Linked DNA regions of Callithrix jacchus. The protein of the gene in region 1 interacts with the protein of each later gene in a pairwise test. Links are inferred from orthologs where the notes say so. Each region holds a gene or a part of one and is shown in the gene's direction. Other genes may lie near its edges.

The links.
Region 2: the proteins of ACY3 (region 1) and PMM2 interact in binary tests that used the Homo sapiens proteins (3 or more experiments, as listed by UniProt). The two-hybrid records come from large-scale screens. The link is inferred for Callithrix jacchus from reciprocal best matches to the Homo sapiens genes ACY3 and PMM2.

The regions. Positions count from the first base shown.
Region 1 is NC_133511.1:124,734,122-124,738,363, reverse strand, and holds the start of ACY3 (N-acyl-aromatic-L-amino acid amidohydrolase (carboxylate-forming)), read left to right. Parts: upstream 1-1,400; 5' UTR 1,401-1,477; intron 1,478-1,944; 5' UTR 1,945-1,962; coding exon 1,963-2,198; intron 2,199-3,115; coding exon 3,116-3,311; intron 3,312-3,611; coding exon 3,612-3,705; intron 3,706-3,826; coding exon 3,827-3,934; intron 3,935-4,109; coding exon 4,110-4,242. UniProt on the Homo sapiens protein: Plays an important role in deacetylating mercapturic acids in kidney proximal tubules. Also acts on N-acetyl-aromatic amino acids.
Region 2 is NC_133513.1:11,051,504-11,055,057, forward strand, and holds part of PMM2 (phosphomannomutase 2), read left to right. Parts: intron 1-2,131; coding exon 2,132-2,243; intron 2,244-3,554. UniProt on the Homo sapiens protein: Involved in the synthesis of the GDP-mannose and dolichol-phosphate-mannose required for a number of critical mannosyl transfer reactions.

The DNA.
Region 1 (4,242 bases):
CAGGCTCCTCTGCTGACTCCCTCTCCTGCCACCTGCCAGGGACTCAGTCAAGTTGCTCAAGCCCCGGAGCTTCTTCAGTCCACACCTGGAAAACGGAGTCAGTGACAGCTGCCCCCAGGGCTGGGCCAGAGTGGATGGCATGGCATGGCCCCCTAATGGCAGTCTCTGCCCTCCTTTTGCTGAGGCTCCAGATGCCAGGAGTGGTGGCCCCTGGAGGGGCTCTTAGGTAGCCCTGGCCTGCTGGGTGCTCAGCCTCACGCTCCATCTGCCCCTCTTGGCACCTCGTCAAGGACCCAGCTGCCCTGATGGGAGCCAGGACGACAAGTCCCCTGCCCCACAATCCCCGTGCTCTGAGCTTGCAGAGCCCCGAGTGTGGGTGCAGGAGAGCCCAGGCCACACAGAGTTGAGTGTGATCTGGGCAGCTTCCGAGAGGGGTTAGCCTAGAGGGTCCTAGCCACCCAGAGACCCCCCAGGCTGGTGAGCCTGGCATCTGCAGCAGGGCTGGGCTGTCCTGGGGAGACCCCGTGTGGTGGTGAAGAAGGCCTGGGACTGATGCCTGGGGGAGGCTCCAGTTGAGGGTCCCAGCGCCTGGCATACAGCAGGCCCTGGCGAAGCGGCTTGCCTCACGCCCCAGTGACCTCTGGACTGGCCTCAGCTTCTCCCAGCAGACAGCTGAGCCTGGTGGGAGGGACAAGCCCTGGGGCTGAGTGCAGGGGACCTCACCTTCATCCTTCCCCTCCTTGCTCTTGAGAGGTAGCTGGAGGGGTGGAGCCAGATTGGATGCCCTGAGTGCCACCTGCAACCCACCTCCAGGGCTCTGAGTGCCACCAGCAGCCTGCCACTACGGCTCTATGTGCCCCTGGCCTGCCTGTCTCTAGGGCGGCTCTGTGTGCCTGTGGGCATCCGTCTGAACCTCAGTTTTCACATCTATAAAATGAGCCTGAGGGTCGTTTCTAAAACAGGGCAAACTGAGTCCTCTGAATTATGCTGTCCTGGAAAATGACTGGGTTATCGAATCTGACATTTTGAAATTTTGCTTAAAGCAACAAAGAGCTGCAAAACTGGGGCTCCACATGGCACCTGTGGGTAAGGGCCACTCAGGAGTGACCAGAGCCCTCTGGGGGCCGAGGTGGTGAAGGAGGGACAACTTGTCACCCTGGTGGCCACCCAGGTGCCCCTCTTAGTAGTGTTAGAGGAACAAAGGGCAGGGGCAGGAACTTGCCAGCAGGGCCTGGGCTCAATGGGCCATAGCAGCCCAAGCAGCAGAGAGGGGAGGGTGGGGCAGTGCCTGTGGAGCTGACCCTGGCACTCCAACCTTTGGCTGCGTGGACCTCAGCCCGTCCCATCCGCCCCCTGCTCTCTGCCGACTTGACACAAACACTTCCCGTCTGTGGATCTTCAGGCCCAGAAATACCAGCCTGTCTGCCAGTTAGACACCAGCCAGGGTACCCCGGGAAGCCCAGCTGCACATCAGCAGGTAAGTGCCCCCTGCCCTAAGACCCCCACACCAGCTCAGAGGAGCATACGGGAGAGGCAGGAAGGGCAGCAGTTGCCTAGAACCCAGACACACGACAGTGAACTCTGGTGACGCTTCTTTCCACTCCCCACACTGAGCCTCAGTTTCCCTGACTATAAAAAGGGGCAGAGCCCTTTCCCTGTAGGGAGTGTGCCTCGGTGAACCCGTCTACCTGAATGACTGGGCCCCGCTTCTCAGTTTAGGAAAAAGAAATTTGTTCTCTCCAAAGAAGCAGGAGAATTGTCTCATCAGAGAAAGGGCCACCGGGGTGCAGGTGGGACAGAGCTGAGACACCCCCAGCCGGCCACACCTCCTGGCAGGTGGCTGCCCTGTGGAGTTGGGACTCCTCAGCCCTCCCACCGCCATCCCCACTCTGAGTCTGGGGCCCTGCCTTGGGGCCGGGGTCTCCTGAGTATGCCCACCCCCAGGTGCCGCCCCATGCCAGCATGTGCTCACTGCCCGTGCCCCGGGAGCCCCTGCGCCGCGTGGCGGTGGCCGGGGGCACACACGGCAATGAGATGTCCGGCGTCTACCTGGTGCGGCACTGGCTGCTGGCCCCGGCAGAGCTGCAGAGACCCAGCTTCTCCGCAGTGCCGGTACTGGCCAACCCCGCAGCCACCACGGCCTGCCGCCGCTACGTGGACCGCGACCTCAACCGCACCTTCACCAGCACCTTCCTCAAGTGAGTTCTCTTGCCACCAGGTTGGCACAGGCAGTTGGGCAGCGAGTCCCCACCGCACACCACCCCTCCAGCCACCAGCAGGGCCCTCCCTGCCTTCACTCCTGCTTCCCCTCTACCTGTGTGGCCCATTCCTCCATGGGGACAAACTGAACATGTAGAGAAACCCAGATTGATGTCACCTCTTCCAAGAAGCCCTTCCTGACTGCAAGTTGTGTCAGGACCTCCTCTGGGAATCCCAGACCCAGTGCTTCCTTCAGATTCACTCCACAGGCCATGTTTACTTGTCATGTGCCCTGACCACTGTTCGTGCCTCCTTCCAAAGAATAGTCACTGAGCCCCATCTCCAGACCAGGCTCTGGCCAGCTCAGGGGAGAGAAGGGGGAATAGGACCAAGATACTGGCTTCCTGCTTAATGGGGACACAGAGGAAGAACTGGGCAACCATAACCCAGGTGGCTAAAGGCAGGCCTGGGGGCTACACAAAACAGCTAACCTGGCCGAGAGCAGTCAGGGAAGGCTTCCTGGAGGCAGTGGTATCTCAGCCAAGCCCCAAAGGCTGAGTAAAACTAGCCAGGGGAAGAGAAAGTAAGAGGGAGTTTCCAGTGGAGGGCCCAGCACGAACACAGGCCTGCGGGTGAGACCAGCATGCTGCTTGGGCAGTGTGGCTGGAGTGAGGGCATGAGAGGCAGGTGAGTGGGTAGGCAGGCGGGAGGGCAGGCCAGACTGAGGGCTTGGACATGACCGGGAAGTGCAGAGCCAAGAGGGCCATGGGCAGGGGCGAGCACAGCCACAACGGAAGAGGGACAAGCCTTGAGCCGCTCAGAGTGGCTCCTGCGGGGCCCTTGCCCCTCCCCACTTAAACCACTGAAGACTGACTGAGACTGTGGGGTGGGCGTCCCCCATTCCCGTTTCCCGCAGTTCCAGGCCTACCCCGGATGACCCATACGAGGTGACGAGAGCCCGAGAGCTGAACCAGCTGCTGGGACCCAAGGCCTCGGGCCAGGCCTTTGACTTTGTCCTTGACCTGCACACCAGCACGGCCAACATGGGCACCTGCTTCATCGCAGAGTCCTCCCACGACGTCTTTGCCTTGCACCTGTGCCGCCATCTGCAGGTGGCCTCGGCCGAGCATACTGCCCCAGAGGGGAGAGGGAAGGAGGGCAGGGTGGGGCAAGACCGGAACCTCTTTGATTAGTCCCTCTTCCCCGGGCTGAGGTCCCCTGGGTTCCAGTCTTCGGGGTCTGCCACCGGCCAGCACTGCAGGCCCCGGACACCCCCTCCCCTGCCCTGCCAGAGGACAGAGGGAGACCTGGCCAAGGAGGGTGGTGCCCTGTGCTTCCTCCATGCCACGCCCCCCACCTGCTTCCCCTCCCACCTAGGCCTGGACCCCTAACCTGCCTCTCTCGCCCCCCAGCTGCAGTACCCCGAGCTGTCCTGCCAGGTCTTCCTGTACCAGCGGTCCGGGGAGGAGAGCTACAGTCTGGACTCCGTGGCCAAAAATGGACTGGGTAAGCCGGGGCCTCCTGAGAAGTGGGCGGGACCAGGAGGGCTGGGGGTGGGGCCATGCACCAGGGGGCGGGGCCTCTCCAAGGAGTTCATGGGTCCTATTCCTTGCTTCCTGGTCTCCAGCTCTGGAGCTGGGCCCCCAGCCACAGGGTGTGCTGCGGGCTGACATTTTCTCGAGGATGAGGGCCCTGGTGGCCACAGTTCTGGACTTCATCGATCTCTTCAACCAGGGTGAGACCCCGGGGACTTGTGGGAAACAGCTCTCAGGAAGAGAAGGCCTGGCTCAGGAGCAGCGGATCCAGGCCCACATGCAGGCTGGGATCCAGCCCTGATGTCCCCCCCACGGCCCACTCTGTACCCTATCCTGGAAGGAGGGATTGGCTCACACACCCAGCCTCCCACACAGGCACAGCCTTTCCCACCTTTGAGATGGAAGCCTATAGACCTGTAGGCATCATGGACTTCCCTCGCACAGAGGCTGGGAACCTGGCAGGCACCGTGCATCCTCAGCTTCAGGTGTGTGTGTGTTTGTGGGGCGG
Region 2 (3,554 bases), on another chromosome or scaffold:
TCCACTGTGAGAGGTAGAAAAGATTGCACTCTATTACAAACCTGTCTGTACAATTTTATTTATCAAATTCATGTATTACTCTTAAAAAAATTTTTTTTAATCATTGGACTCCAAGTGTTCTTAAACTGAGGTTGAATTAAATGGCTTTTTGTATTTTCTAAATTTCTAGAAACTTTTTAAAAGAGATACTCAGCTGGGCACCATAGCTCATGCCTGTAATCCCAGCATTTTGGGAGGCCGAGGTCAGGAGTTTGAGACTAGCCTGGCCAACATGGTGAACTCCTGTCTCTACTAAAAATACAAAAAAATTAGCCAAGTGTGGTGATGGGCACCTGTAATCCCTGCCACTTGGGAGGCTGAGGCAGGAGAATTGCTTGAACTGGGGAGGTGGAGGTTGTAGTGAGCTGAGACCACCACTGCATTCTAGCTTGAGTGACAGAACAAGACTCCGTCAAAAAAAAAAAAGACATTCAGTGTAAATGTACCACTCAAGGTACTGAGTTATAAGACTTGTAAAAATACCTAGGGGAGGGTCAGCGAGGTGTGGGGAAGTTGGGGAGGGATAACATGGGGAGAAATGCCAGATAGAGGTGATGGGGGGAGTTGCCATGTATGTACCTAAGCAACAATCCTGCATGATCTGCACATGTACCCCAGAACCTAAAGTACAGTTTAAAAAAAATTGTGATGTGTCTTAATGTAGGGCTATTTTTTCTTTTTCTTTTAATTATTTATTTATTTTAAAGATGGGGCTTCACCCTGATGGCCAGGCTGGTCTTGAACTCCTGACCTCAGGTGATCCACCCACCTCGGCCTCCCAAAGTTGTAGGATTACAGGCGTGAGCCACTGCACCCGGCCTAGGGCTATTTTTTCATCTTAGTTTACAACTTTTTAAAATCACCACACAGTCTGGAATGTACTGTAAGATTATACCATTAAGATCACTCTTTCTAGATAGGTGCTTTTAGAAGAGACTAAAAATTCTAGTCATCTTACTCTTTTACATTTTTTTGTTTTGGGCAATAAATCAGTTCTGAGCTTCCTCTTTAATCTCATTGTTAATTTGTTTAAAAATCAACAACTTGGGCCAGGCACTGTGGCTCACGTCTGTAATCCCAGCACATCGGGAGGCCGAGGCAGGCAGATGAGGAGGTCAGGAAATAGAGACCATCCTGGCCAACATGGTAAAACCCTGTCTCTACTAAAATACAAAAGAAATTAGCCGGGCATGGTGGCATGTGCCTATAGTCCCAGCAACTTGGGAGGCTGAGGCAGAGGTTACAGTGAGCCGAGATCATGGCACTGTACTCCAGCCTGGCATCCAGAGCAAGACTCTGTCTCAAAAAAAAAAAAAAGAAAAAAAATTTAAATCCATAAATTGTGTATAGTGTAGTATTTAAAAGGAAGGATGAGTTAGATCTGTGTTGCATGAAAAGATCGCCATAACATAGTGCTGAGAAAGCAAGTCACTGCACAGTACATAGAATGATTCCATTTATGTTTCAAAAATAAGGCCTATTTCTATATGTGCCCATAGATGAGTCTTATAAATGCATAGAAAAATAACTGGGACATTGCAGAACAGCTACTAATCTATTGCCTGTGTGTTTAAAGTTTGGCAAAAATAACAAGTTTATTCTGGTAAAAATGCCTCCAAATTACAACTGAAATATTTGAACTGTGTACATTGCTGGTAACTGAATTGGCATGTATGAAAATAAGGCTTGTAGGCCTGGCTCATGCTTGTAATCCCAGCACTTCAGGAGGCCAAGGTTGGCAGATCTCCTGAACCCAGGAGTTCCAGACCAGCCTGGGCAACATGGCAAAACTTTGTCTTTACAAAAAATTTAAAAATTAGCCAGGTGTGGTGGCACATACCTGTGGTCCCAGCTACTCAGGAGACTGAGGTAGGAGGATCACCGGAGCCCAGGGAGGTCGAAGCTACAGTGAGCTATGACTATACCACTGCCCTCCAGCTTGGGTGGCAAGTGAGACTGTATGCCAAAAAATTTTTTTTCTTTAATTTTTAAAGAAAAAAATAAAACTTGTGTAATTGTGTTACCCTTAGAGTTTTTGTCACCTGATTATTTTGTGGCTAATGACTGTTGTGTTTTCCTTCTTGAAATTTAGAAAATTACCAAAGAAATGGATGACTTCCTGCAAAAATTGAGGCAGAAGATCAAAATCGGAGTAGTAGGCGGGTCGGACTTTGAGAAAGTACAGGAGCAACTGGGAAATGATGGTAAGTGATAAGTTGCTGATCGTATCTGGTAGAACATTAACTTCTTATGAGGATATTGTGGCTGAATATCATAGGCTGCCCTGAATTCTTGTTCCCATATGGCAGACTTTCTGCTTCCTTGTTTGGGAAACATTTTCATTTTTTATTTTTATTTTTTTTAATTTTTGGAAACATTTTCTTCATCTTTATTTTTCCTCTGCTTTTAATCCAGTAAATTTCAAGATTTACTGATGGAGAACTGGGTGCTCAGATGTGTAGGTAGATTCACCTAGGAAGGTCAGCTGCTGTGTCTTTGCACATGGTAATCTCTCTGCCTGGAATAATTCTTACTTGTACCCATTCACTGCCCTTCTAGCCTTAGTCCGGCCGGTCTTCATATTGTCCCTCTGACAGCCTCTCTCACCTCCCCACCACTGGAACAGAATTGTCAACACAAGACCCTGGAAAACTGGAGAAGCTTATTGACCCCTTTACTGGAGATTCTGACTTGATAGGTCTATGGGGCCTGGGAATCCTATCTTAGCAAGTACCTCTGAGAGATTCTGGTGCACAACCCTGCTAATGTAGCATTCTGTAATTATTGCAAACTATATGATGATACGTTTTTAAAGAGCAAGAGTATGGATTATTCATCTCCATAGCCCCAGGACCTCTTGGCCTATAAGAAATTGTAAGTGTGTCGGGCATGGTGGTGGTGGCTCACGCCTGTAATTCCAACACTTTGGGAGGCCAAGGCAGGCAGATCACGAGGTCAAGTCACTAACATGGTGAAACCCCGTCTCTACTAAAAATACAAAAAATTAGCCAAGTGTTGTGGCATGAGCCTGTAATCCCAGCTACTCGGGAGGCTAAGGCAGGAGAATCGCTTGAACCCAGGAGGCGGAGGTTGCAGTGAGTCGAGATTGTGTCCCTGCACTCCAGCCTGGGCGACAGAGCGAGATTCCATCTCAAAAAAGAACAAAAAAAAGTAAGGGCAGAGATGGATGAATTGATTGTTCTTTTATCCCCTGTTGTCCCCAGAGTTCTCACATCTTGGAACCAGCTCCTCTAGAGCAAGATTTCTCAACCTCTGCACTCTTGATATTTTGGACCAGTTAGGGCTGTCCTGTGCTATGTAGGGTATTTAGCAACATCCCGGGCCTCTACCCACTGCGTGCCCGCAGCACACACACATGCACACATACAGCTATGACAACCAAAAATGTCTCCAGACATTGCCAAATGACCTCCTTGTAAAATCATCCCCATTTGAGAGCTGCTATTATAAATATACCTTTTTTTTTGAGACAGAGTTTTGTTCTTATTGCCCAG